Linked DNA regions of Macaca fascicularis. The main gene of each other region encodes a partner of the protein of the gene in region 6 in a complex. Links are inferred from orthologs where the notes say so. Each region holds a gene or a part of one and is shown on either strand. Other genes may lie near its edges.

Evidence for each region.
Region 1: the proteins of RHOA (region 6) and ROCK1 are in contact, whole or in part, in a crystal structure (PDB 1S1C), measured with the Homo sapiens proteins. The link is inferred for Macaca fascicularis from reciprocal best matches to the Homo sapiens genes RHOA and ROCK1. Residues at the interface, in NP_001300870.1 of Homo sapiens: Val38, Phe39, Asp65, Tyr66, Arg68, Leu69, Leu72, Pro75; in NP_005397.1 of Homo sapiens: Lys999, Val1003, Asn1004, Leu1006, Ala1007, Met1010, Asn1011, Arg1012.
Region 2: the proteins of RHOA (region 6) and PKN1 are in contact, whole or in part, in a crystal structure (PDB 1CXZ), measured with the Homo sapiens proteins. The link is inferred for Macaca fascicularis from reciprocal best matches to the Homo sapiens genes RHOA and PKN1. Residues at the interface, in NP_001300870.1 of Homo sapiens: Met1, Ala2, Phe25, Ser26, Lys27, Asp28, Gln29, Val43, Asp45, Ile46, Glu47, Gln52, Glu54, Thr163, Lys164, Arg168, Glu169; in NP_002732.3 of Homo sapiens: Glu40, Arg43, Arg44, Ile46, Arg47, Leu50, Lys51, Lys53, Glu54, Glu57, Asn58, Arg60, Arg61, Leu77, Arg78, Ser81, Leu84, Asp85, His88.
Region 3: the proteins of RHOA (region 6) and ANLN are in contact, whole or in part, in a crystal structure (PDB 4XOI), measured with the Homo sapiens proteins. The link is inferred for Macaca fascicularis from reciprocal best matches to the Homo sapiens genes RHOA and ANLN. Residues at the interface, in NP_001300870.1 of Homo sapiens: Tyr34, Val35, Pro36, Thr37, Val38, Phe39, Glu40, Asn41, Trp58, Asp65, Tyr66, Arg68, Leu69, Pro71, Leu72, Pro75, Asp76; in NP_061155.2 of Homo sapiens: Met729, Thr732, Val733, Tyr735, Gln736, Ala737, Gln739, Ala740, Cys743, Cys744, Glu748, His749, Gly750, Ser753, Glu755, Glu758, Ala759, Leu762.
Region 4: the proteins of RHOA (region 6) and ARHGEF11 are in contact, whole or in part, in a crystal structure (PDB 1XCG), measured with the Homo sapiens proteins. The link is inferred for Macaca fascicularis from reciprocal best matches to the Homo sapiens genes RHOA and ARHGEF11. Residues at the interface, in NP_001300870.1 of Homo sapiens: Arg5, Thr19, Val33, Tyr34, Pro36, Thr37, Val38, Glu40, Asn41, Val43, Asp45, Glu54, Ala56, Trp58, Asp59, Ala61, Gly62, Gln63, Tyr66, Asp67, Arg68, Leu69, Arg70, Leu72, Ser73, Pro75, Asp76, Pro96, Glu97, Pro101; in NP_055599.1 of Homo sapiens: Asn715, Gln717, His718, Glu737, Val738, Glu741, Thr745, Ser748, Ser837, Lys844, Arg867, Arg868, Leu869, Gln870, Arg872, Asp873, Ile876, Met879, Gln880, Arg881, Thr883, Lys884, Leu887, Leu888, Ser891, Arg914, Leu917, Lys918, Val920, Asn921.
Region 5: the proteins of RHOA (region 6) and TRPV4 are in contact, whole or in part, in a cryo-EM structure (PDB 9IQX), measured with the Homo sapiens proteins. The link is inferred for Macaca fascicularis from reciprocal best matches to the Homo sapiens genes RHOA and TRPV4. Residues at the interface, in NP_001300870.1 of Homo sapiens: Met1, Ala2, Ala3, Arg5, Tyr34, Pro36, Val38, Phe39, Glu40, Asn41, Tyr42, Val43, Glu54, Trp58, Glu64, Asp65, Arg68, Leu69, Leu72, Pro75, Asp76; in NP_067638.3 of Homo sapiens: Lys177, Arg179, Thr181, Glu183, Glu184, Arg186, Pro188, Arg224, Glu225, Asn228, Ser229, Pro230, Arg232, Arg237, Asp263, His265, Ala266, Gln267, Arg269, Asp313, Arg315, Arg316.
Region 7: the proteins of RHOA (region 6) and ARHGEF2 are in contact, whole or in part, in a crystal structure (PDB 7G9I), measured with the Homo sapiens proteins. The link is inferred for Macaca fascicularis from reciprocal best matches to the Homo sapiens genes RHOA and ARHGEF2. Residues at the interface, in NP_001300870.1 of Homo sapiens: Arg5, Lys7, Lys27, Gln29, Val33, Tyr34, Val35, Pro36, Thr37, Val38, Phe39, Glu40, Asn41, Tyr42, Val43, Asp45, Glu54, Trp58, Asp59, Ala61, Gly62, Gln63, Tyr66, Asp67, Arg68, Leu69, Leu72, Ser73, Pro75, Asp76; in NP_001155855.1 of Homo sapiens: Asp215, Ser216, Ser218, Leu219, Asp238, Val239, Glu242, Thr246, His249, Cys342, His345, Ser346, Leu349, Lys353, Lys376, Arg377, Gln381, Glu382, Leu385, Leu386, Thr388, Gln389, Ile391, Thr392, Lys393, Leu396, Leu397, Arg400, Lys423, Leu426.

The regions. Positions count from the first base shown.
Region 1 is NC_088392.1:68,652,323-68,656,544, reverse strand, and holds the start of ROCK1 (rho-associated protein kinase 1), read right to left. Parts: upstream 2,801-4,222; 5' UTR 1,897-2,800; coding exon 1,804-1,896; intron 1-1,803. UniProt on the Homo sapiens protein: Protein kinase which is a key regulator of the actin cytoskeleton and cell polarity.
Region 2 is NC_088393.1:14,864,576-14,868,520, reverse strand, and holds the start of PKN1 (serine/threonine-protein kinase N1), read right to left. Parts: upstream 2,801-3,945; 5' UTR 2,699-2,800; coding exon 2,471-2,698; intron 2,320-2,470; exon of another isoform or gene 2,121-2,319; coding exon of another isoform or gene 2,100-2,120; intron 1,906-2,099; exon of another isoform or gene 76-1,905; intron 1-75. UniProt on the Homo sapiens protein: PKC-related serine/threonine-protein kinase involved in various processes such as regulation of the intermediate filaments of the actin cytoskeleton, cell migration, tumor cell invasion and transcription regulation.
Region 3 is NC_088377.1:93,874,680-93,878,179, forward strand, and holds part of ANLN (anillin), read right to left. Parts: coding exon 3,408-3,500; intron 3,125-3,407; coding exon 2,977-3,124; intron 1,858-2,976; coding exon 1,722-1,857; intron 1,083-1,721; coding exon 900-1,082; intron 1-899. UniProt on the Homo sapiens protein: Required for cytokinesis. Essential for the structural integrity of the cleavage furrow and for completion of cleavage furrow ingression. Plays a role in bleb assembly during metaphase and anaphase of mitosis.
Region 4 is NC_088375.1:104,028,736-104,032,711, reverse strand, and holds the start of ARHGEF11 (rho guanine nucleotide exchange factor 11), read right to left. Parts: upstream 2,801-3,976; 5' UTR 1,339-2,800; coding exon 1,307-1,338; intron 1-1,306. UniProt on the Homo sapiens protein: May play a role in the regulation of RhoA GTPase by guanine nucleotide-binding alpha-12 (GNA12) and alpha-13 (GNA13). Acts as guanine nucleotide exchange factor (GEF) for RhoA GTPase and may act as GTPase-activating protein (GAP) for GNA12 and GNA13.
Region 5 is NC_088385.1:116,664,565-116,668,064, reverse strand, and holds part of TRPV4 (transient receptor potential cation channel subfamily V member 4), read left to right. Parts: intron 1-164; exon of another isoform or gene 165-318; intron 319-482; coding exon 483-662; intron 663-921; exon of another isoform or gene 922-983; intron 984-1,085; exon of another isoform or gene 1,086-1,208; intron 1,209-2,735; coding exon 2,736-2,894; intron 2,895-3,199; coding exon 3,200-3,292; intron 3,293-3,500. UniProt on the Homo sapiens protein: Non-selective calcium permeant cation channel involved in osmotic sensitivity and mechanosensitivity. Activation by exposure to hypotonicity within the physiological range exhibits an outward rectification.
Region 6 is NC_088376.1:112,362,189-112,365,688, forward strand, and holds part of RHOA (transforming protein RhoA), read right to left. Parts: intron 721-3,500; coding exon 590-720; intron 1-589. UniProt on the Homo sapiens protein: Small GTPase which cycles between an active GTP-bound and an inactive GDP-bound state.
Region 7 is NC_088375.1:105,084,526-105,088,637, reverse strand, and holds the start of ARHGEF2 (rho guanine nucleotide exchange factor 2), read right to left. Parts: upstream 2,801-4,112; 5' UTR 2,568-2,800; intron 1-2,567. UniProt on the Homo sapiens protein: Activates Rho-GTPases by promoting the exchange of GDP for GTP.

The DNA.
Region 1 (4,222 bases), on a different chromosome or scaffold from region 6:
TCATAGCCAGTCATGTCTCTATCCTCTATTCACGTTATCCTCCACTCCTCCTGAGTACCCTCTATCTAAATCCTATCCATCCATCATGAAACATACTTTGGCTCTCTCAATTCACAGTGACTTCTCCCTCTCAATTTCCAAGATCATACATTATCTAAACAATCATCTGGAATTTATCACATTTCTCAATCTGTGAAGTGTTTGGCTTTGTTTCTGTGTATATATGTGAGATAAGGTTTTGTCTTCCATTAAATAGATTGGACTCTCGGGGAAAGAGTCCATGACTTATATTTCCTTGTATCCTCCACATCTAAATAAAGGTCCCCAACAAATGAAGCTATAGCAAGAGGCTGGAAGATGATTAAAATAAAAAAAGAAAGCTACAAAACCCTCCCTATAACACCATCTCATGTAATAAGGAGATCAAAAAGCAAAATAAACTCAAAAATACATGAAAACTGGATAAATATTAAAAGATAAATCAGACTTCTTAGAAGTTATAGAAATCCTTACTAGACAGATATATTCTAATTCCTTCCACTTATCTCGTTTAATAAAATGTTTTAAAATCCATTGTGCATCAACCTTCTTTACTATTTCTCAATATGAAGAGCATCCATAATGTGATAAGACATTTCTAATAACCCACAATACTCTTATTTCCTGGTCAGGGATGCTTAGAATAATTCTGAAAGCTTTGGGAAGCTTCTTGTAAAGTCCATACACGTGGAAAAATATGCACGTTAATTTTAAACAATCTACATTAATTTTCCTTTGATTCAAGATGGGATTTTTGAATTGTATTATTTCTTTGAGTGGTATTATTTTGTTTCCTTAATCTTAATTCCCAAAATTGAGCATCTCTAACATTATTTCACCGAAGACTTTGTGAAATCCCGTCCATATACGTACTCCCTGAAACCTTATTTGTAGAGATTTTGTGGTTTTGTTTGGACTAAAAGAGAAATACTATATAACCCTTAGTTGTTCAGAAACTCGTTTACAGAGGAAATGTATCAAACCTAAGAATTCCAATTATTTACAGAGAACTGTAGGTTATCAACCACTTAACTATTTTTAAAATGGGATTTTGGTTTTTCATGTCATAAAACCCTCTTTAGAATGTTTTAAAAGTGACAATGTTAAGTGCCACACCACCAAAAAGACAGTTACAATAACTGTATGGTCAGTACTTTTGTAACCAATAATATAATAAGTTAACATTGTAATGGCCTAAGACCAATTATCTTGGGTTTTTACAATAGTTTAGCCAAAAGTTCCTTCAAACTCAAATCACCTATGAAATTTTGGCTCAAAAATCACTTGCTCAATATCAATTATCCGTTGTCACTTTCAAGGCTAAAAACTAAACGCCTAGGAGCTAAATCGCAAAAAAAAAAAAAAAAAAAGCAAAGTCTTTTCAATTTAACTGTCAAACTGATCAAAAAGATTAGTATTACTACGATCGCCATTCAACAAACTACATACGTTGCAGTAACTCTGACGTAATAACTTTTTATAGGATGCCTGCAATAGCAGTTTGTAAGTATCTTTCGGGTACTCATGAACTGAGTCAGAATTAAAAGTTCAGAGAGTAGTTAGTACAGAGCCAGTCAAATGGCAAATAGGACCATGCCATGAGATGTTAATGGTACTCCAAGATTCTTCGGGAAACAGAAATCCAGCGTTTTCCAAGACGATTATGCACACCTGAGACTTTCTTTTGCAGCGAACCAGAGTAATGCAAGAGGAAGGAAAGACATGCAAAACCCCAGACGAGCAAAAGAGAACAGCGCTACTCACCAGCAAACAATCCGAATTCACTTCCGATTTGGGATCCCGCAGCAGGTTGTCGATTTTTTCAAATCGAGTCTCAAAACTGTCCCCAGTCGACATGTTGCTGCTGCTGTGACAATGCCCTCGTACCAGCACCAGCAGCGGAAAGAAATTTCAACCAACTTCCTCCGCGGTGGGTTCGCAGCCGCAGGGCGGAGGAGCCGGAACCTCAGGGTCACCAGGTGCGCCCGGTTCCCCCTTCTTCCCCTCACTGAGGGGACCTCCGCTCTCCAGACCCCGGGCCGGGGGCAACAGCGACCCACAGCCGCTCGGACGCCCAAAGTCGCATCCCACCCGGCAGCCCCTCACGACAGCCGACAGCGCCGTCGCCACCAGCCTCGTCGCTCCGACGAGGTGCTTCAGCCTAGCGGGCCCCGGCCGCCGTCGCCATGGAGGGGTCCCCGTCCCGAGATGGGCAGGAGCGGGGAGAGAAAGAAAAGCAGGGTGGAGACTCCCTCGGGGCAACAAGGGAGGGAGAAGAGGAAAGGCGAAAGCGAAGGGCGGGTGAGGAGCTGTGCCAGCTGCGGCCGCCGCTCGGGCCACGGGCCGGGCCCGCTCCGCTCAGAGGCGCTGTAGACGGTCTAGCCCCGCGTCCCCGGCTCTACTCGGCCCGGCCCGACGCACCGATCAGTCTCGGCCACGAGCTGGTCCCCGCGGGACAGCCTCACTCTCCCATTTTGTCCCGTCGCTGCTGGGGCTGCTGCTACGGTGTCCGGTGGGGCAGGGCGAGGTCGATGCCCGATGGAGACTTAGCAGAGGAAAGGCTGGAGAGCGGGCGAAGAGGAAGACGATAGTTGGGTCCCGGCGGCTGCTGATGGGGGAGCTCCTGGGAGGGGCTGCGGTCCCAGCCGGGGAAAGGGCGAGTCGCGGCGGCGAATGCCTGGGGGGGTGGGGCGAGGGGGGCCGAGAGGGACTAATATGTCCGCCTTCCTGTTCAAACAAACGGAGACCGCCGGCGCAGACTGCGCATGCGGGGCGCGGACGCTCGGAAGGGGAACCAGCCGGGACCCCGCGCGCGCGCGCGCACGGTGTCGCCTCCGCAGGGCGGGGCGGGGCGGTGAGGTGGGCGGGGCCTTGCGGGCAGGCGGGCGGAGAAGGCGGACCGCCGGGAGGAGCAGACGTGGGGTAAGCAGCTGCCGGTAGGGTCCGAGCCTTGGCCGGCTCTGAGGAGCCTTGCAGGGCTCTGGAGCCGCCTTGGAGGTCCGGACAGAGGCGGAGCTCTGGCTGCTTCTGGTCGCTGTCCCGGCAGATGCCCCAGCTCTGTTTCCTCTGGGTTGTAGCAAGTCCAGAGACTTCTGACGAGGAGATAGTGCTTGTTCTTGTTACTGTCAGGATGGGGTGATACGTTCTTCTTTAGGCAGGAAGCCTTTTCGTGGGCAGGTACCAGCATTTAGCGGCGTTTGGTTTTCGGTGGTACTCCATGGATAGCCCTCTGGAGCCCTAGCCTTGAACCCATTTACAATTCACTGGGAAAGTTTCGAAGCGCTCAACCCTCCCACGCCAGGCGTGTGTGTCAGGGGAGCCATAAAATATTGACTCCGGAAGGTACAGTCAATAGAAGTCAAGCTCAATTTAATTTTTTTAAAGGAAAATAATCTCTTAGAAAAAAAACAATATTTTTAAGTCATTCGTATTAGTTCTCTTACTTCATTAACACCCCCACTGTAGTTCTCTCCTGGACATGTAATGCTGTCGTTTCAATGTCAAAACATTCAGTGAAACGTAAGTGTGATTTTTATCAGAACTGACGTAGGACATGAGAATAATAGGCATTTCTCCTAGTTCGTTGCTTCACTGACTGTGATGTGAGGAAAGGTGAAAGATTTGTCACTCACCCCCGCTGATAAAGTTATGTTCTTCACTGGTTTCAGCAGGAAATCTACCTTAATGTATTTCTAATCAAACTTTATTTTTGCTCAGAAATCAAATTAAGGATCACTAGAAATAGAAAATGTGGATCTTTTACCCCATGATGGAAAATGCTACAGATGAACCAAAAAGCATCGGGGTAAGAAGCATCGTACAGCATCTGAACAGTCCACCAACCTTACGATGTGAGTCAGAGGTTAGGAAAATCTTATATGGTTTGAAAAAAATGTCTATTTCTATTTTTAATTTATTAAATACAAGAAATATTTAGATGTAAAATCCACTGTATATATCAAGATAGGACGTTTTTGGTTTATACAAAAATCATAGCAAAGACAACTAGACAAACCAGGTATCTCATTAAATGCCTTTGCAGTGACTTTTCTTGGCTCCAGCATTTTAAGTCATGTGAATTAGATTTATTTTTAAGCGTAGGGCTTAAAATAAATCTAGCAGTTGCCCTAAAATAAATTTCCTAAACCCTGCTTGTCTTTTTTTTATTATTATTACCATTTTT
Region 2 (3,945 bases), on a different chromosome or scaffold from region 6:
TAAATAAATATAAACAAGTAAATCAATCAGTAAGGACACAGATTCACACCCTGAGCTGCTGACCAGGACGCTTACCAGTAATGACTTCACAGCAGCCCCGCCTGCCAAGTGCTGGCCAGGTCTCGGTCTCTCTCTCCCATGAACACCCTCTTAGTCCCATTTTTCCTAGGTCAGAACCGAGGCTCAGAGAGGCGAAGGCACTGGGCCCAGGACACACAGCAAGGAAGTGTCAGCGTCGGAATTTAAGCCCAGGCTCACCAAATACCACCCTCACTCAGTCAGGCCCCACCCCATCCCCAGCAGGCAGAGGGAGGACACAGCCAAGAGCGGGGTCAGCTCAACTGGGGAAGTCCAGGCAGAGAGGAAAGGTGGCCTCCCTCGGCCCCACCTCCAGCAGCTGAGGTCTGTAATGCAGAGAGGGAGGGAGGCTGGGCTCCTGGGTTCTCCTCCCCTGAGTGACTCACTTCTTCCCAGGGCATACAGGTCACCTGAGGGCCACCAAGGCAAACCCAGGACTCAGGGGCCTGGCCTGGCCTATGGAGAACCCCTGCTCCTCTGCTGCCCACCATGGAGCGGAGACCTCAGACCCAGAGGACCTGCCTCCCAGAATCCCCATCTTGCCAGAGCAGCCAGGGACCTAGACCCCCACATCCGGAGATTTCAATGCCTTGGGCGTTTCCGGAATCTGGACAGGACATCCGTTTGCAGGACACAGAACAGACAGGCACACGTTGGGACAGATAGAGGGACAGGGCGGCAGGCCCAAGCAACCATGAGAGAGGGATGACCAGGAGGAGGGAAGAGACTAAGGAGGAGATGGGAAGGGGGGACCAGGGCGTGGGTCCAGCCTCACTGCAGGAATCACAGCCTGTCTGGGTCATGTGTGGGACGCGCCAAGCGCATGCATGCGCCCGGGGATTCCTACACAGCCCTCCCTGGGCCGGGGGTGGAGGCAGGGACCCCGGCCCATCCCGGCCCTGAGGTCTGACCTTGTGTGATCGGCAACACCAGATACGCCCAGCTCCTCGGCAAGGCCGGCAGGCCATCAGCAGGACTGGGGAGGTGGGAGGGACCGGGGGTTACGGGGGAGACACAGAGGGGCAGGGGGCAGGTGCAGAAGGAGACGAGAACCCAGTTACACAACAGCCACAGGACGATGAACTGGATGGTGAGGTGCAAATGGGGGCACCGAGGCACAGACATTTCTCAGATTTGGGTCACTTGAACCAAAGAAGGTTGGCAGTCACGCTGGCCCTGCTTGTCACAGACGGGGAAGATGAGTCCAGGTCAGTGATACCAACCAGGTGGCACGGGGGAATCTGGCTGGGCAGAAGGCTGGTGCCAGTCACGTGTGTGTGTTAGGAGGGTGGGGGTGACCCAGCCCTGCCCAGCCACCATGCAAAAAAGTAGGATTCTATATATGGGAGCATCCCTGGCCTGTTGACTGAGGCACTCCCCACCCGGGAGAAGGTTCCACCTGACAGTCCAAGAGTAGGAGCGGGGGTCCCCAGTCCCCCGACCTAATGCAGTGACTCGGGTACTTCCGCCAACAGGTGCCAATCTGGGTGGCGTCTGGAACACTATAAAGCTGTCTAGAGGCGGGGGTGGCTGGAGCTTTGTTATGCGGGGGAAGGGCACGGGCCGGGCCCGGCGGCCTCCTCCCCTCCCACGGCACTGCGCCAGGCACCTGCCCCAGGTGGAGCGGCACCTGCCGGGCACCCAACCCTGGGGAGGGGGATGAGTTTGGGGGCGGACGAGAGGCACCGGGACTCCCAGCCAGCCACAGACACCCGAAGTAGAGCCTCCGCCGCGCCCCTTCTAGTTCTCTGGGAGAGGCCGAGTTTGGGGGTGCAGCGGGGGGTGCCTCCGAGATTGCCCCCAAACCAGCCCCGTCCACATCGCCACCTGCCGAGAAGGGGGCCTCGCTGGCTCCACAGTCCCGGCCCAGGGAGGGGGCGCCGGGCGCTCCGGAGGTCCCCGCCCTAGCCATCGCCACCCGAGTCCCGTTCGGGGGGCTGGGGGGCTCCCCCGGGAGCGCGAGGGCGGGGTCCCCTGGAGCCGTCCGGTCGCCCCGGGACTCCAGACGCAGGTGCGCCTACCTGCAAGGCGTCGCTGGCCATGTCCTCCTGCCGCCCGCCAGGGGTCCCCGCGCGGAGGGAGGGGCGGCCAGAGGAGCGCGCGTGCGCCCCGGGCGTGGCGGGGAGGGGGCGGGCGCGGCGCGACCCTCCCCGGCCCGCGGCCCGCTCCGGCCTGCTAGGCTCCCGCCTCGCCTGCCCAGGCCGCCGCGTCCCCGCGCCGCGCCCTCCAGCCCCAGCGGCCGCCGGGCCCGGTCACGTGACCCCGGAGGTCGGCGCCCGGGGAGGGGGCGGGGCCGAGGGGGAGGGGCTCCCAGAGGCCCCCGGGGCTGCGGGGTCCCGCCCGCCCGCCCCCTCAGTCTCCCGAGCTCGGAGCACCCCGATCGGCTCCCCACCTTTCCTCTTTCCGGGTCCTGCGACGACCGCACGCTGCCGAGAGGTCCCCCATTGGAGCGCGCGGGAACCCGAGGAGAACGGTTCCCCGCGTTCAAGCCGAGAGCGGCGGAGGCCTTTGGGCCTCCCAGAACCCCTGAAAAAAAAAAAATAACCCCCCCACCCCACCCCATCCCTGTGCATTTGCAAGCTCGGGACGCCTGCATCTGTGGTCCCCTATTCAAGGGCATGGAAGTTTCCCCGTTACCTGGAGACAAGCTCTGGGCAGATCTGCATTCAAATGCCAGCGCTTTACGCCTTGGGGAAGCCAAATCCTTCCAGGCACCTCATCTGTGAAATGGGAATGATGCGCTCACCTCCTAGGTGTTGGTAAAATTCAATGAGACAGTGCAGGCCAAGAGCTGAGAACACTCTAGACGCTCCATAAGTGTTAGCTGCTGTCACTTTTAATGTTATCGTAATTGTTTGTTGTTTTGCTGTTTTTGGACGGAGTTTCGCTCTATTGCCCATCCTGGAGTGCAGTGGTGCGATCTCGGCTCACTGCAACCTCTGCCCCCCGGGTTCAAGCGATTCTTCTGCCTCAGCCTCCTGAGTAGCTAGGATTACAGATGCCCGCCATCATGCCCGGCTAATTTTTATATTTTTAGTAGAGATGAGGTTTCATCATGTTGGCCAGGCTGGTCTCAAACTCCTGATCAGGTGATCCGCCCGCCTCGGTCTCCTAAAGTGCTGGGATTACACAGGCTTGAGCCACTGCGCCTGACCTCTATTATCGTTATTGTTATTAAAAGAGGTTTGAATCCCAACTCGCTGTTCATCCTGGGAACCCCTGTGGCCTCTGAGTCTCAGTTTTCCACACAATAAAATGGGCACCGCCTTCTTTTTCGGGGCTGCTGCATGCAGATGGCGCTCCATAAATGCAGACTCGTGCCCATGCGGAGAGTGGAGGCCTCTGAGGAATTTCTAGGGGATCTCCGGGGTCTGCAGAGCGTGCAGCTTTGTTTACGGCTGCCGTCGGACCCTCACTCCTTCGGAAACCAGGCGAGGGAGCCAAACCTTGGTCTCCGGGGCTCCGGCGGGGAGCGCTCCCTGGCGGCGGTGTCTGCACATTGGCGCCCTTTGGGACCCGAGGAAGCGCCGTGGGCTGTGGGTACCTTAGCTACGCGTGGCTCTGCGTGGTTTCAGTCGTCCCGGAAACCAGGGCGCGATGTTTTCTCTCTTATTTTTTCATCTGAGCAACTCTTTGGGGGATATTAACAACAGAAAGAGAGAAGGAGGAGAATATTCTGATCTAGAATCCATCCAGCCAGGCATGGTAGCGCATGCCTGTAGTCCCAGCTACCAGGAGGCTGAGGCAGGAGGATCGCTTGAGCTCAAGAGGCCGAGAATGCATCACTGTGGGGAGCAATCATGATGCCCCTGCACTCCAGCCTGGGTGACAGAGCGAGACCTTGTCTAAAAAAAAGAAAGAAAAAAA
Region 3 (3,500 bases), on a different chromosome or scaffold from region 6:
CACAAGCAAAATCAGATTTAGCTAATCGGCATTCTGGAATACTAAAGAAATAAAGGAATACTGAACTGATTTATATACAATTTATTTTTAAAATTACTAAAATCAACTTTCCAGACACAGAAAGCTAAATAAGACTTAAGTAGGCAGTATAATCCTGAAATAAGCATCATCAAGGTCTCTCCCTACTATGTAAATTGAAATAATTTCACTCCACATTCCTCAATTTCTGCTGATTTTGAATTTTACCTAATGACCCTTAATTCTCAACTAATAGTATATATCTCAAAAGGGCAAATTATGGTTTGTTATTTCAAAACTGAGATTAAAATACTATATATATATATAAAAGTTACTCAGAGATAAATTATAATAAAAACATAAACTATTTCTTCACTATTTGTCATTAATAACCACGTACCTCAAGACACATACTAAATTACCAATAAATTTCTGGCCACACCCCATCAAAATCAGGTAACAGCAAGAATTAGAACCTAAGTTACCTTATTCCTACAAAAATGCTCAAACCTTTCTCTCTATTTACTTTCCCTATGCCTGAAATTTACTTCTCACCTGTGTCCAGCCCTCCTTCCCCTCAAAAAGTATGTTCCACACAAATAAAATTTTTAAAAGAACTATAAAAACCATATCCAACATTTAATAAAACTTTATATTCAAACTTTCAGTAAGAGCAATGCCCATTATTGTATAGATTGGTATCCCCATATATATCTGAAGTTTTCCCTTAGTTATTTTTATTAAATCTTGATAAAAGGACCCAAAGGCCAAAGATACAAACTTTGCATTGTTATGCATGATTTACTTGTTTCTATCCTGTACAATTCAATCTAGGTGAGGTTCATAATTTAACACACAATCTAGAAAAATCACCACCATACCTGGTTTCTGAATCGTACTGCAGACAAAATCTGCTTTTAGAGGCAAGCGGATTTCTGACAAAGTAACTGATCCTTTGGATGGCATAAATTCACTTTGGGATACAGGACTAGCCTTATTCTTCCTCTGAGGTCCTTCGTTCTTCAATTTATTCAATTCGTCAATCAAAAGTGTTCTCTTCTCAGCTATGTGAAACACGCAATATTCCAAATATTAAAATTGTAACTGTTTCTAATGAGAGCAAATTCAAAAAAGTGTACTGATGTGGAAACTGTACATAACACATGAAGACGAAATTAGTAACACTATCTTTATAAAACAGACGATAGGTGGATGGGGAAAACCTTGATTGCTCATCTATTTACCAAGTCCTTATGATTTAATAAATCAACTTTCAGCTAGTTTTCATGTATGGTATCATCTGTCCACCCCAACATGCCCCATCATCACCACATATATGCACACAGCAAAATTCAGTTGTTTTAGCTATTTATTGATAACGGAAGGGAGGGAGAGACAGAGAGAGAGAGAGAATGTATGGGTACATGTGTATATATAGAGATTCATTCATTCATCCATTCATTCATTCAATCTGCACAACTGCATTTCTTCGAATGCATTTCAGTTGCTTTTACCTTTCATGCAAACTACAATTTGTTTTACATAGAGTTCTTAAACCTTATAAAAACAAGAACAAAAAACAGATCCACTGGAACAGATGACTAGGAACAGCCCTTTCTCTAAACTTAAAGATTTCTAAATATCAAAATGAGTTTTCCCTGATTAGAAATTTGTTGGAATTCTTTCAGGTACATCACACGTACTTGCAATTAGAAGAAGTCTTTCTGCTTCAGCTTCTTCTAGGGATCCTTTTCCATGCTCTTCATCAACACAGCAGTTAAGAGCCTGGCTAGCTTGATAGATCACTGTCTGTTGCATATTTATTTCGTTATTGAGTTCCTAGGAAAACCAATGAGAGGAGAAAAAATACACATATTTTAAATCATCATTTTCACTTTAAACTTTAATTCTAACTAACTTGATTGGATAGTTTCTAGAATTTCCAGACGGTAAAGTCAAAACGTTAGTTTCACTGCTCAAGTTTCTAGACTATGCACCAAAAACATTTAGCATGTTATAATAATTAAGCTATAAATATTATTTCTTATGAAAAAACTTCCAATTCATATTTATTAAAGTTAAAATTGGGGTTATGTCCAACAAAATAGAAATTTATAAAGTATTTGATTCATTTTATTTACATCACAATTACACTGCTTTTTAAATATGCTTCCTTAGGGCCAGGCATGGTAGCTCACACCTGTAATCCCAGCACTTTGGGAGTCCAAAGCACAAGAATCACTTGAGCCCAGGAGTGTGAGATCAGTCTGGACAACACGGTGACACTCCATCTCTATTTTCTTTCATAATTAAAATTTTTTAAAAAGCCAGGCATGGTGGCTTATGCCTGTAATCCTAGCACTTTGGGAGGCTGAGGTGGGTGGATCACTTAAGGTCAAGAGTTCGAGTCTGGCCTGACCAACATAGTGAAACCCCATCTCTACTAAAAATACAAAAATTAGCCGGGTGTGGGGGTGCATGGCTGTAATCCCAGCTACTTGGGAGGCTGAGGCAGAAGAATTGCTTGAACCCAGGAGGCAGAGGTTGCAGTCAGCCAAGACTGCGCCATTACAATCCAACATGGGCAACAAAGAGCAAAGCGGTGTGTCAAAAAAAAAAAAAAAAAAAAAAAGCTTCTTAGCATGAAAAAACCTTGAAGTGCATAACAAATTTCCCACTACATCATTACCCAATTAATAGTTATACTTTAAGGATATTTATGAAAAACCTGTTTAAAAATAAATATTTCAGCAATATCAAAGAAGTTTCCAACTTTTCAAAATGAGTACCTTTCCAAAAATAAACTGAATTCAAATGTGATTTACTGAGCTTCTGTGCATCAGACACTATTCTGGCCACTCAGGGTTCAGAGATGAGTAAGGCTGGGCCCTTGTCCTCACAAAGCTCACAGCCTAGTGCAAGAAACATTCCAAATCCCCTTTCCACAGAAGTACATACCTGCATTTTCTGTTTGATATTAACTTGACAAGGAAAGGCATTATTTTTTTCATCCAGTTTTGAAGTAACATCTTCCTTCCGAACAATCACCTGCTTTATTGATGGACGTTCTGTTTCTTTGAATCTTTGAGATCTATATGCATCAATGCTTCAGGAGGTAAGTTACATTCTATTAGAAATCTAGCAACACACTGAGCACTATCCTTTATTGAATATATCAGCAGAATTTGACACTGATATTGAACATGTCAGCAGAACATTTCACAACAGAATGGAACTCTCATTTGGTGAAAGAGAGGCTAACAAAAGTTATTCCAAACTTTTATACAGATGAGTTATTAATAACATTATAATTACAAATTATAACATGACTTAATGTCAATCTAAACCATGACCCTTAGTGAGTGAATGCCTTCCAGAAATGTTCTTACCTGTAAAGAAGATCACGATCTTCAGAACCAAGGCTATCACCAGATTCAGCCCGAGGGACACGAGTTCTTTGGAATTTTCCTGGTTTTGGACTT
Region 4 (3,976 bases), on a different chromosome or scaffold from region 6:
GGCTGTCTGCCTCCTCTTCTCCACTGCCAAGTCAGTTCCCATCTAGGGATTGCTGAACTAATCTAAATGGGACTCTGAGGCAATACAGAGATTAGTGCTTGGGAGAGAGAGATTATATGCATTTTAGGCCACATTCCACAGCCAAAAGGAAATTATTATTAGCATGGATAACCAAAGGTGGACTGGGCATGGAGGGAGCAATTGCTCCCTTGCAAATATTCTTCCCTATCTCTCCAATAATATTTTTTCCAGGCCCTGTCCTTTCATTTGCTTGTTCAGTCCTTCAACCACCCATCTATCTAGTTAGAATGTGTGCAGTGCCCACAAAACACACCCCCATAGCAAGGTTCTCATGGGGAGAAGGGTTGAGGAGGGGTAGGGGAGGGAAGGAAAAGAGAGACACCTTACAAAGTTGTACCAATCATTTGCAGGCAAGAATTGCAACCACACTGTAACATTACCAGTGATAGAGGTGGCTGGGCAGACTCTTGGGGGAAGGGGTGTCATGTGTTCAGACTCTGAGGGCCAGTGCTGCTGCCCAGCAGGCCTAGGAGCCCAAAACAATTTCTTCTGGCTCCAGGCAGAGGGAAGGCCCATTTTGCAGAGTCCAGCTTATTAAGAACAGCTTGGAAGATTAAACCTAGAGCATCGGCCGGTTGGCAGGTCTCAATTTAAACTCTAAGCTTGGAGGAGAGGAAATTCTAACGTGACCTATGCATTTTGGGGCCATGTCAGCTACTGGTAAAAATCCAGACCTGCATGGGTGCAAAGGATGTTTCTGTCCCATCATTCAGGCCAAGAACATCCTCTTCATTTCTAGAAATGGGATCCACCCTGTCCCCAAGCCCCACCATTCCATACCAACCAGCCTGGTGGAGGCCCACGCCCCTGCCAGGGCCCTTCTCCCAGCAGCTCCAACACCTAAAGCCAGTCCCCCTAGTGCACCCCTAGGAGCTCACAAGACTGGCTTGTGCCCACTTGAGCTGGCAAGTTGGGGGGACTCAAATTCAGCCTCCACCCTGGCAAAAGTCAAAAGCCACTGGAAACACATCCTCCTCCTTCTCCTCTCCTGGCTTCACTGTTTATTGCTTATATTCAAAAGACGCTGAATTAAGAGCTGTGTTTTTAACATAGACACACAGAAAGCACATAACCACACAGGTTGACGGTCCCCAGAGACTAATGCTCCTAGTCCCAATTCCCAAAGCCCACCTAGACCCTTATTTTCAACCATTTATTAAAATGCAACACCACCCCTCCCAGTCTTTTAGTCAATGTTGAAAAATCAAATCATTAGCAAACCTACCTGTCTATACTCTGGGGCAACCTTACACTCATGGTTTCTCGGTGTCTCCACGGTTCCAGAATCCTGTAGCTTTGGTGTGTTGATCAGGATTGAATCGCTTCCAATTTTTGAGCAAGGTGAGAGGAGGGCCTCCCAACTTGAAGACTGAATCCTTTCTCCTCCAGCTCTCAGGACCCTGGTAACTGATGCTCCACTCTACTTCTACCAGTGAACATGATTTCCTTTCTCAGCCCCTCTTCCCCTCCCCAGCTTTAAAAAAAAAAAAAAAAAAAAGAAAAGAAAAAAAAAAAGGAAAAGAGGAAAAACTGTGACCTTCTCAGAAACCAAAAACCCAGCCACAAACCTCCTCAAGGTTAGCACTATGGGCTAAAAAAAATGAATCACAGAAAAATGTGCCTTCAAAATATCACTGTTAACTGCAAAATACAGATAAAACCATCCTTTAAATCCAGTTTTCTCAGCTGTCCTTCTGTTGGCAAGAGACCCTCTAGCTCAAAGGGGGAAAATAATTTTCTAGTCTCCAATGCTTAATATGACAACAGCAAATATCTTTGAGGAAAGGAAAAAAAAGGATTAATAAATCCGAAATGGCACTTGGAAAAAATCTTCCAGCTGATTTGCACAGTAAAAAAATAAATAAAACCATACAATAGTATGTACACAACAGCACTCCTTCCAAGTCCAGTGCAACCCTGGGAACCAAAATTTATGGACTTCCTTAAAAAAAGAAAAAGAAAAAGAAAAGCTTTTACATTAAATGTTTTGAAATTCTTAAATGAGCCAATTGCACCAAAAAAAAAAAAAAAAAAATTCAAAGAACACCTGAAATGCAATGCTTTTTACCTTTAAGATGGTAGTAATGATTAACAAACCAGAGATAATCTCTGAAAATATTCTCTCCTTTTCTTTTTCCTTTAAACTTGCAGGTTCCTCCACCTACCCCAGCCTGATTCTCAGACCCAGCCTACGTTCGGCCTTTTTCTGAAAGACAATTTCCTGAGTTAGTTCTGCTGTTGGGCTCCTCCACATCCAAGCTCCGAAATTTTCTCTTGCCTCAGCCTCCATGAAACGGAGATTTCGCTTCCTCCCGTTCCCCCTTTTCTCTCCCTCTCTATCGCCCGGTCAGAAAGACGGCTCCCTTATTCGGATTATGATTGTGGATTTGAGTTCGAGGTGGGTTTTTCCTTCACACCAGCCTCCTGGAAAATCCGATCGCCTGTTTCCTCTCGGCCTCTCCTTGCCTCCCTTTCCGCCCCTCGCCTAATCTCGCAGGCAGGAGCCCGCCGTGCCTCGCGCAGGACGCCTGGCCGGGCCTCCGGCTACCGGCGCCGCTCGCCCCGCGCCCGACCGCCGTGTTCCGGCCTTCGCGGCCGCTCGGGACGCCAGGCTCGGCGCACGGGGAAGGCGGCGGCGGCTGCGGCAGGCCGGCACGAGCGGGCGTCCGACTGCCGGCGTCGCGGCCGCGCTCGCCTCCTTCCGGGCCCCTTCCCCCTCGGCTCGCCGCTCGCTCGGGCGCAGGCCCGGCCGGCCGCCCCCTTCCCTCCCTCCTTCTTCCCTGTGAGCCTTTCTCCTTCCCTCGCTCCCGCGGGGCGGGGCCGCAGGCTCCTCCTCCTCGCGGCGCTGCCCGCCGCCCGCCGGCCTTTCCCCTCACGCCGCGGCGGCCGGGAGCGGGGGCGGGAAGCTGACCGCCCTTCCCTGCCTCGGTTCCCGCGGCCGCGACTCCCGCCGACCCGCCCGCCCCTGTCCTGGCCTCCCTGCGCGCCCTGCCCCCCACAACCCCTCGCCGTCGTTCCTCGGCCGGTCCCCTCCGCGGCCCCTCAGTCGCCAGCCCTGCCCCTCGGCGCGGCCTAGCGGGTTCCAGTCTCTGCCGGATCCCCGGCCTGGCCCGCGGGCGACCCCGGCCCTGACCCCGCCAGGCACCGCGCGCCGTCCCCGCCGCCGCCGCCACCGCCACCGCCGTCACCACCCCTGCCACCTTTTGCAGGCTTTTCCTCGTCTGCTTTCCCCCCTTTATTGACTTCTGCGCGGGAGCCGACCTTTGTTTCCTACCCCCTGCCCGCCCCGCCACCGTGCCCGCGCCCCATGCCCCTGCCCACGGGTGCGGGTTCACTTCTTTGCGTCCACCGGCATTACCCCGGCGCCCGCAGCTACGGCTCACCCTCTCTCCACCTCTCTTCTGATCTTATTTTTCAAACATTTGTTGCGGCCTCTTTCGTGGTGTCAGTTCTTTTAACTGTTTCCGCCCGTTTCTGTGGTCCTTCCCACTTACAATACCACCGACTTAGGGGGAAGACCCTTCGCTGTTTCCTCTAGGCTTGGCTTGGGCATCTTAATACCAGGCTGTGTAAAGTGTCTTTGAACTCTATGGAAGAGCCTTTCCAGAGCAATTCTGTTTTCATAACCCCCTCTCGTAGAATCACAGTTTCTAAATCTTTACAAGTAACATGACATTTGTCAGAGGGTCCTGAGCGTTTATTAAAAATCATTAAAGCCGAGGTGGGGGGGTGGGGAGATCACCTGAGGTGAGGAGTTCGAGACCAGCCTGGGCCAACATGGTGAAACCCCGTCTCTAGTAAAAATACAAAAATTAGCCGGACGTGGTGGTGCGTGCCTGTAATCCCAGCTACTCGGTAGGCTTGGGCACGAGAATCGCTTGAATCCGGAAGGCGG
Region 5 (3,500 bases), on a different chromosome or scaffold from region 6:
GTGAGATTCTATCTCAAAACAAAAACAAACCCCAAAATCCTAACATTGCCTGACCTTGGGCAATTCCCAACCCCTCTCTGTGCCTCAGCTTCCCTGTGTGTAAGCCAGGGAAGGAGTGGTAACAGGAAGGACCGCATATGATCGTCAGTATTATAATTCACATATTATTAAGATGGATTCATTGCTATTTTAATGGCACGAAGAACATATTCATTACAATTAAGATGTTGAAGGCTCATTCCGGTTCCGTCTGGCTCCAGCTGACTGGTTAAGTGTCTTCTGGAACACCTTTCATTTTTCCCAGCCTCCACTCCTTATCTGTAAACCAAGATAATAAGAGCAAGAATTAAACAAGATGAGGAAGGGGTCCTCCAGCAGCCGGTGCTCAGCTGTTTTCTGGGGAGGCGTCATGTGCTGAGCTGGGCCCAGCCCTGGGGACCTCTCCAGTGTGAGCCCCCTGACCCTCCTGGCCCCCTGTGTAGATCTTTCAGCACATCATCCGGCGGGAGGTGACGGATGAGGACACACGGCACCTGTCCCGCAAGTTCAAGGACTGGGCCTACGGGCCAGTATATTCCTCGCTTTATGACCTCTCCTCCCTGGACACATGTGGGGAAGAGGCCTCCGTGCTGGAGATCCTGGTGTACAACAGCAAGATTGAGGTGGGCTCCAGGAGAGGGCATGGGGTGCGAGGAAGGAGGGGCAGGGCTGGGAGCAGGGATGGGGCCCTGGGGCTGGGCTAGGGGAGAGAGCCTCAGCCTCTAGTGCCCAACGTGGTGGATCTGTTGGCTGACTGCAAGAGAAGGTGCCAATTAAGTGCCCAGAACAGTGTCTGGCATGTGAGGAAATGAGCAAGACTTGTGGGAAGGTGGACTTTTGGAGCAGGTAGGACTGGGTTGGGATCCTGGCTCTGTAACTTACATGCTGTGTGTCTCAGGACAAGTGGCCCCACCTCTCTGGGTCTCAGCTTCCTCATTTGTAACCTAGGGATAAGGATCATACATATCCCATGGGGCTGTTGGGAGGACCAAAGAGGTTAATTTTAGAATGGCCTGGTACAGAGTAAAGATTATGTCAGCTTTTACCATTCGTGGTTGTTATATGAACTTTTGAAAGCTCTTTTTTTCAGCGAGGCGTGGTGGGTTATGCCTGTAATTCCAGCATTTTGGGGAGCCAAGGTGGGCGGATTGCTTGAAGCCAGGAGTTTGACACCAGCCTGGGCAATATGGCGAAACCCCGTCTCTACAAAAATAAAAATAAAAATAAAAGTTAGCTGGGCGTGGTGGTGCGAGCCTGTAGTCCCAGCTACTTGGGAGGCTGAGGTGGGAGGATCACCTGAGCCTGGGGAGGTCGAGGCTTCAGTGAGCTGAGATCATGCCACTGCACTCCAGCCTGGGTGACAGAGGGAGACCCTGTCTCAAAAAACAAAACAAAACAAAACAAGCTTTTTATTTTTCTACTTAGCAATATTTTGTGAACATCATTCTGTAGTTTTAAATATTCTTTGGTAATATTGTCGCTGCATGTAAATGTACCATATTCAAATGAACCGTTCTGTTATTGTTGGTCGCTTGGGTTTGTTTCTGCCTGTAACTATCAGGAATAACACTACAAGAGCATCTCTGTGGCTGTGTTATTGCACAAATCATGATTATGGAGAAACTCAAGTCATTAAAGGGCTAGGAATCTATACAAAGGGAGCAGAAAATGCTGGGGACTGGGTGCAGGTGGTCACCCTTCTAACCCTGCCCTGTGGCTTACTGGTCTGTGAGCTTGGCTTCCTTGCAAGACCTCATTTCTCTTATTTTTTTAATTAGTGGCCACCTTGATTTAAATTAGTAGTGGCAGCAGGTTTAGCATCTCAGGTGCAAACTGATTGATTGGTAGTGTCTACCCAGGGAACTGTATGAATACAATTGTGCAGGGCTCAATTATTGATGGCTGCCCTGGGTTCAGAATTGGAGAATTGTGGTAAGTCAATCATTTATCATCTTTGGGCAAAAATTTCCCAATCTTTCTCTCTGAATCAGAATTTCTGAGAATGGAGGCCAGGATTTATACTTGCGGCAAGCTACATAGATGATTTTGCGGCCAACAGCTTGGTACTATCCACAGATTGGAGTTTGGGAACCATGAGAATAAATGTCCTTTTTTCTTTTCTGAGACGGAGTCTCGCTCTTGTCGCCCAGGCTGGAGTGCAGTGGCACAATCTAGGCTCACTGCAATCTCCGCCTCCCAGGTTCAAGTGATTCTCCTGCCTCCGCCTCAGGAGTAGCTGGGATTACAGGTGCCCGCCACCACGCCCGGCTAATTTTTGTAGTTTTAGTAGAGTCAGGGTTTCACCACGTTGGATAGGCTGGTCTTGAACTCCTGACATCAGGTGATCTGCCTGTCTCGGACTCCCAAAGTGCTGGGATTACAGGCGTGAGCCACCGTGCCCTGCCTGAAAATAAATGTCTTTTAAGGGACTTTCCAGTTCTGAGTTCTGTGACGCTAGAATAGGGCGGAAAGGCACATTGAGGCAGAATTGGGCAGAATCTCAAATGGTGAGTGCGGGAGCTTGGGGCTGATGTTCAGTATCTGTCCAGTTCCCCATGAATCCTTGAACGCAGCTGAGGAATGGATGGAAAGAGAAAGCGCTATCGGGGTGGAGGGTGGGGGAAAGCACAGCCGGGGCAGCCTGCCAGGACCCCCCACCTCAGGAAGGCAGCCCCTGACCACCCTGCCTCTCACAGAACCGCCACGAGATGCTGGCTGTGGAGCCCATCAATGAACTGCTGCGGGACAAGTGGCGCAAGTTCGGGGCCGTGTCCTTCTACATCAACGTGGTCTCCTACCTATGCGCCATGGTCATCTTCACCCTCACCGCCTACTACCAGCCGCTGGAGGGCACAGTGAGTGCCCAGGGACCGGGCAGGGGCTGGGGCAGGCACTGGCTGAGCCATGCAGGATGGGGGCACAACCTCGTCCCTCTGGGTCCCCTGTAGGAGGAACTGGAGAAGGTTTAGGAACAGGTTGGGGAGGCGCCCTCCAACATGCAGGGGTGGCCCTGAGCTGGGAGGAGGGGGACTCAGGAGCAAGAGAGTGAAGGAGGAGGCTACATGGGATCCAGATGTTTTGGGTCTGGGGGAACATCTGGATTGGGGGCCAGATGTTGGAGGGGCCGGGTGACGACCTGTGTGCCCTTGCTGCTCCCCAGCCACCGTACCCTTACCGCACCACGGTGGACTACCTGCGGCTGGCTGGCGAGGTCATTACGCTCTTCACTGGGGTCCTGTTCTTCTTCACCAACGTGAGTGCCTGGCCCCCGTGCCCCCCACTCTGCCTGCTCTCCTCTTCCTCTTCTCTTCCTGCACCTCTTTTCTCTCCTTCTTCTCTTCTCTCTCCTCCAAATCGTCCTTCTCCTTTCCTTCCTCCTTTTATTTTCCCATTTCTCTTCTACCTCCTCCAATCCCATGTTCTCTATCTCTGCTTTTTTCTCCTTTTCTAACAGGAAAGAG
Region 6 (3,500 bases):
CACATGTAATCCCTGCACTTTGGAAGGCAAAAACAGGCAGATCACTTGAGGTCAGGAGTTCAAGACCAGCCTGGCCAACATGGTGAAACCCCATCTCTACTTCAAACAAACAAACAAACAAACAAACAAAACTAGCCAGGCATGGTGGAGGGCGCCTGTAAGTCCCAGCTACTCGGGAGTCTGAGGCAGAAGAATCGCTTGAACCCCGGACGCGGAGGTTGCAGTGAGCTGAGATTGCACCAATGCACTCCAGCCTGGGTGACAGAATGAGACTCCATATCAAAAAAAAGAAAGTTCCTACATCTAAAGCCACTGACTACTTGCTACTGATGAAATGGTTCATTCCCAGGCCAGCAGTCCTTACGGGCATAGCACTACCTCATAAAAAACATTCCATCTCACAGAACTAGTGAACTATTTTAGGGATCTTCTGTGAAGATCTCAATAAATGAGGGTCAGAGGGCCAGAGAGGGGCTTCTGAGCCTCTAAAACAACCTGGCCTGTGAAGGTTTCTGCTGGGCTCCCCAAACCTCCAACCTTGGGGCCATAGTTCAAGAATAATACAAGACAGTCCTGCCCCAGATCATGCCTGCTTCATCTTGGCTAGCTCCCGCCTTGTGTGCTCATCATTCCGAAGATCCTTCTTATTCCCAACCAGGATGATGGGCACGTTGGGACAGAAATGCTTGACTTCCGGGGTCCACTTTTCTGGGATGTTTTCTGAAAAAAAAAATGTAGAGAATTTGGGGATACATACAATTCTATCTTGAAGACTTTCCAAGAACCTCAGTGAAATTCAGAGACACTTTCTTTGTGGCTTCAGAAGAATGCTAGACATTTAATGAAACCCACTAGTTTCAAAACCATAAAAAAGGGCAAATATAATCCCTTTCCTTTAAACAGAGAACCACCAGCTTTTTCTCAGTATAGCCAAGAATGGTGCTGAGCATCTCTGTAGGTGGGGCCCAAGGAAGGGCTCTGGAGGAGCAAAAGATCCACAACACAAGGTAGCTTCACGGGGGTACTTCCTGCCCCACAAAGGCAGGCACTTTACAGGACATCCGTTACTGCTGGTAGATGATTCTGACATAGCTTACAGAAGGGGTGCCCATTCTAGGGCAGCAGCTGACCCAGGGTCTATATGCTCCTTTTCTAACTTGTTCATGGACTCTCAGCATAACTTCTACCCTATAGGTTTACTGGTATTTCAAATGGCTCAAGAGTGACTTTTGGCCAGGCGCAGTGGCTCACGCCTGCAATCCCAGCACTTTGGGACGCCGAGGCAGGCAGATCACGAGGTCAGGAGATCAAGACCATCCTGGCTAACACGGTGAAACCCCATGTCTACTAAAAACACAAAAAATTAGCTGGGCGTGGTGGTGGGTGCCTGTAGTCCCAGCTACTCGGGAGGCTGAGGCAGGAGAATGCCATGAACCCGGGAGGCAGAGTTTGCAGTGAGCCGAGATCGCGCCACTGCACTACTGGGTGGCAGAGCAAGACTCCATCTCAAAAAAAAAAAAGAATGACTTTTGAAAATAACCAAACGAGGCTGGGTGTGGTGACTCGCACTTGTAATCCCAGCACTTTTGAGAGGCTAAGGCAAGTAGACAGCTTGGGCCTAGGAGCTCAAGAACAGCCTGTGCAACATGGCTAAACCCCATCTCCGGCCAGCACAGTGGCTCACGTCTGTAAGCCCAGCACTTTGGGAGGCTGAGGTGGGTGGATCACCAGAGGTCAGGAGTTCGAGATCAGCCTGGCCAACATGGCAAAACCTCATCTCTACTAAAACTACAAAAATTAGCCAGGCGCGGTGGCACGCACCTGTAGTCTCAGTTACTCGGGAGGCTGAGGCAGGAGAATCATTTGAACCCAGGAGGTGGAGGTTGTGGTGAGTCGAGATCTTGCCACTATACTCACTACAGCCTGGGCAACAGAGTGAGACTCTGTCTCAAAAAAATCAAGAACCCCATCTCTACAAAAACATACAAATACTGAGTTTACTCTCAGGCGGGCAGATTGCCTGAGGTCAGGAGTTCGAGACCAGTCTGGCCAACATGGTGAAACCCCATCTCTATTAAAAATACAAAAAAATTGCTGGGCGCGGTGCCTCACGCCTGTAATCCCAGCACTTTGGGAGGCCAGGGCAGGCGGACCACTTGAGGTCGGGAGTTGGAGACCAGCATGACCAACATGGAGAAACCCCATCTCTTCTAAAAATACAGAATTAACCGGACTTGGTGTCTTGCATGCCTACAATCCCAGCTACTCAGGAGGCTGAGGCTGGAGAATCGCTTGAACCTGGGAGGCAGAGGTTGTGGTGAGCCGAGATCGTGCCACTGCACTCCAGCCTGGGCAACAAGAGCGAAACTCCGTCTCAAACAAAACAAAACAAAACAAAAAAACTAACCGCGCATGGCGGTGCGTTCCTGTAATCCCAGCTACTGGGAGGCTGAGGCAGGGGAATTCCTTGAACCAGGGAGGTGGAGGTTGCAGTGAGCCAAGATCGTGCCACTGCCCTCCAGCCTGGGCGACAAAGCAAGACTCCCTCTCAAAAAAAGAAGAAAAAAAAAAAAAGAATACTGACTTCTGAATTATGTGGCTGTGTTTAGGCTAATGAAATGATCACATTCAAGCTTCTATCAGTTAGTTAAGACACTCCAGAAAAAGGCTAAGCCAGGGCAACCAAAAAAAAGAAAAAAAGTCTTTCCCCAAAAGAGATGGCTTTACATTTGGAACTCATCTGGTATACTTTTTTTTTTTTTTTTTTTTTTTTTTTGGGAGATAGTCTGGAGTGCGGTGGCCCTATCTTAGCTCACTGCAACTTCCGCTTCCCAGGCTCAAGTGATTCTCCCGCCTCAGCCCCTGGAGCAGCTGGGATTACAGGCGCACACTACCACACCCAGCTAGTTATTGTATTTTAGTAGAGACAGGGGTTTACCATGTTGCCTAGGCTGGTCTAGAACTCCTGACCTCAAGTGATCTGCCAGCCTCAGCCTCCCAAAGTGCTAGGATTATAGGCATCAGCCATCGCGCCTGGCCTTAGTTTATTCATCTTTGTATTTGGAATTCATCTAGTTTACTCATCTAGTTTACAAGGCAGTTACATTTTAAAATAACATTTAATATTATTTAGTAATAATATTATTTTTGAGATGGAGTCTTGCTCTGTTGCTTAGTCTGGAATGCAGTGCCATAATCTCGGTTCACTGCAATCTCCACCTACAAGGTTCAAACCATTCTCCTGCCTCAGCCTCCAAGCACCTGGGACTACAGGTGTGTGCCACCATGCCTGGCTAATTTTTTTTAACTTTCAGTAAAGACAGGGTTTTGCCATGTTGGCCAGGCTGTTCTCGAACTCCTGACCCTCAGGTGATCTACCCGTCTGGGCCTCCCAAAGTGCAGGGATTATAGGTGTGAGCCACCGTGCCCTGCCTAGGTGGATACATTTTAAATAAAGTAGCCATGGGAAACCTAGGCTGAAAGGGACCCAAGGCCCACAC
Region 7 (4,112 bases), on a different chromosome or scaffold from region 6:
GCCTCCCAAGTAGGTGGGATTACAGGCACCCACCACCACACCCAGCTAAGTTTTGCATTTTTAGTAGAGAGGGAGTTTCACTGTGTTGGTCAGGCTGGTCTCAAACTCCTAACTTCAGGTGACCCTCCCACCTTGGCCTCCCAAAGTGCTGGGATTACAGGTGTGAGCCACTGCACCCAGCCAACATACCTACTTCCTAAATGTCATCTGAGGCCTATATAGAGAGAGATAATGAGTGCCAACATCCATTTTGTGCCATCCTCACAAATATTTCTTGAAACAGACATTATTATCCCTATTTTACATATGAAGAAACAGGCTGCATAGAGAGCTTAAGTAACTGGCTGGGGGTCACAGAGCTGATAGGAGGCGGAGATGAGTTTTCAAAGCTGATCCATCACATTATGGAGCCTGAATTCTTTTCTGAAACCAGAAAACAAGCTCTCAAAGAAAGCAAGTGGCTAGCTTTTTTTTTTTTTCTGAGACACGGCCTCGCTCTGTTGCCCAGGCTAGAGTGTAGTGGCACGATCTCGGCTCACTGCAACCTCTGCCTCCCAGGTTCAAGTGATTCTCCTGCCTCAGCCTCCTGAGTAGCTGGGATTACAGGCGTGCACCACCACGCCTGGCTAATTTTTGTAATTTTAGTAGAGACAGTGTTTCACCATGTTGACCAGGCTGGTCTTGAACTCCTGACCTCAAGTGATCCACCCATCTTGGCCTCCCAAAGTGCTGAGATGAAATTATAGACCTGAGCCACTGTGCCCAGCCTATCAAGTGGCTAGCTTTTTTTTTCCTTTTTTTTTTTTTTTTTTTTTTTTGAGATAGTCTTGCTCTGTCACCAGGCAGGCTGGAGTGCAATGGCGCGATCTCGGCTCACTGCAACCTCCGCCTCCTAGGTTCAAGCAATTCTCCCACCTCAGCTTCCCAAGTAGCTGACATTACAGGCACCCGCCATTGTGCCTGGCTAATTTTTGTATTTTTGTAGAGATGGGGGTTTCACAATATTGCCCAGGCTGGTCTTGAACTCCTTACTTCAGGTGATCTACCCACTTCAGCCTCCCAAAGTGCTGGGATTACAGGCATGAGTCACCACACCAGGCCAAGTGGCTAGCTTTGAAAGAAATCTGGCAACATTATTTTTACCCACCTCATTCCTACCTCCCTGACCCCAGCCAAAGAAACGAAGCAGCTTCCAAAAGAAATGAGATAGGGGTCCCAAAGAAGTTCAGTGTATCCTTTCTGCTCCCTGTGTTAGCTTAGACCCCTGAATGAGGTGATGGGGCACAGGCAGGTCTCTGGTTATGTTTGCTGCCAGCGAACACCGAACATGGGGGAGGAACTGCTGACAGCAACCAAACAGCCAGGTGCTGTTGCTTGGAGGCAATGCTGGCTGGCCCTTTCGCAGTCTGAGAAGCTTTGAGTCTGGCTCTGGGATCCTAAATCTAGCGAGGTGGCCAATATTGGAGAAGACCCAAGAGAATCGGATAATAAAGGCTGAGGAGGAAAGGAGAGGCCAAATGACATGTTGTACTGGCTCTCCTCCAAATCTCCTGGCCCTGGGGGTGGGACACAGGGTCACAAAAACTCTTTGATGGTTCAAAATTTAACCTAACATTTCTTCTCCTGTAGAAAGTAAACCATTAATCCAACAGTGCCCTGCAAAGAAGGCTAAAGCAGAGCTTCTCTTCGCCTCAGATAAAGAAGGCTCCAGGAGCTACAATTCCTTCCCATGTGCTCCCTAGACACCCCATTCCAAGACAGGAGCACCCAAGTCTCTGATACCTTCCTGCTTCACCCATCTGCCTGACTTGGCTGAACGCTGGTGTCCTGGAACTCATTCTCCTTCTCTGACTTTCCTGTCCACTGTCAGAGAGTAGTGCCACAATTCCAAAAATGAAAGCAAAGTAAAAGATATAGAGGATCCATTCATTCAGCAAAGATTATTTTAGCACCTTTTAAGTGTCAGGCACAGAGAAGAGGACCCAGAAGAGTCTATGCACAAATACAATGGTGGGCCCTGGCTACCATCCCTTAGTGGGGCAGAGGCCAGTATGGGCAAAAGCCATCTGTCGTATCAGCTTCCGGGTTGTCTCCTGAGAGGCATTATCATCTGTACTTAGTTCTGGAATTTCAAGGCGTCCCCAGCCCCCTAATCTAACTACACACCCCTCTACTAAGTCAGCCACAGGCATCTCAGACACTCTCCCTAAATCATCCCCATGTCCTTGATGTACTAGGTTCATAAGTCAGTCAGGAATTTTGCTGCTCTGGGCTTCCAAGTGTGACCGCCTTTTTTTTTTTTTTTTTAATTGGTTAGTAAACTGAACTTAGGGACCCTGCCCTCTTCCGTTCTGCTGGACCTGTAGCTGTATGCTTATTCTACCAGGGGCTTGGGACCCAGACTAACCCTTTATTTGTGGGGGATAGAGAAGAAAAGGGTCAAGACCAACCAGTCCTCTTCTACCTCCTGCCAGTTTCCTGGCATGTGTTCTGGGTGCCATGCCAGACAGGTGGGGCAAGAGAGGGTCTGAGGGCAAGGACCCAGGAAAGGAGAGAGGGAAACTCACCAGACCTGGGAGATATCCCAAAGATGGGAGACCTGTTTCTGCCCTCAGTTGGTGACTTCAGTGTGGGAAAAAGTCCTGCTTCAGGTGGCCCCTTTAAGAACCAGTCCAGCACCTTGGTGGGGGTCCCCTCTCTCTTGGTCCTTTTAAGGGAGCTGCTCATGGTCCAGAAGTTTGCATAAGGGGGAACTCATTCCAGTACAGACCAGCTGCCTCTTCATCCACTGCAGCCCTTCCCTTCCCCGCCCTACTTCAAACACCCTAAACAGTGCTGTGCCCAGGCCCTTAACTCTTTCAGTGCCACTACTGATCCCAGGGACTCCTGGGTCCCTCTGTCTTCAGCATTCCCTGAACACAGGGCGGCTACAGAATTCAGACTTGTGTGGAAACAGGTACAAGAAGCCATGCTGGGGTCACCCTGAGGAGAGACTATACGGGAACCTGACAGTCCAGGGAAGGTTCATCCTTCCTCCAACAGGGTCAGGGAGAAACTGGGGAGGGGAGAAAGCGGACATCTCCAGGAAAGAAACAGCTGCAGCTGGAAACCCACTTCACAGCAGGGTCCTCAGCGGGGTCAGTGGCGTCCTTTGCCCTCTCAAATTAGGCTTCACAACTGATTGTTGGCCGGGCATGGTGGGTCATGCCTATAATCCCAGCACTTTGGGAGGCCGAGGCGGGCTGATCACTTGAGGTCGGGAGTTAGAGACCAGCTTGGCCAACATGGAGAAACCCCGTTTCTACTAAAAATATAAAAATTAGCCGGGGGTGGTGGTGTGCACCTGTAATCCTAGCTACTGGGGAGGCTGAGGCAGGAAAATCGCTTGAACCCGGGATGCAGAGGTTACAGCCAGCCGAAATCACGCCACTGTAATCCAGCCTGGGCAACAGAGCAAGATTCCATCTCAAAACAAACAAACAAACAACAATAAAAAAAACCTGATTGTTTGTCCCTTTAAGAGGCAGGTTACAGCAATGGAGGAGGAAAGATTGTATTTTTTTGTGATGAAAGTACAGGGTGGAGCGGTTACAAGGGCAGCTGCACTGAGAAGGGCCCTAGTGTCAGCACCAGGAACAAGGGTGACCAAGGAACTCAGCATATCCGGGGCTCATGGCTTGTTGTGGATACCAGGCGGCAGTATATTTGACCAGCTCCCCCACTCTCTTCCCAGATAACAGCTTCTGGGGCGGGGCAGTGGCTGACTCACCTTCACTGCTTTCCCTGGGGCAGAGGACAGCTGGGGCTGACGTCGGACTTCCTGAGGTAACGGAGAGCCCTCTTTGCCTCCTGTGGGCTAGTAGAAAGGGCATGTTAGAGCTGGAAGATCTTGGCTGCCTCTGCCAAGTCACTAGTTACAGGACCTTGTGTCACCTATTTAGCCTCATCCCCTTATCTGTAGAATGCAGATGTTAAATGAGACATGTGAGAACAGTGGAACATACATGCTGGGTCCGTAATAAATAAATATGCTAGCTGCCACTGGTGGGCAACCTTGGACAAGCCGCTTCACCCTGTGTCTTTCCTGATCTATTAAATGAGAGCATCAAATT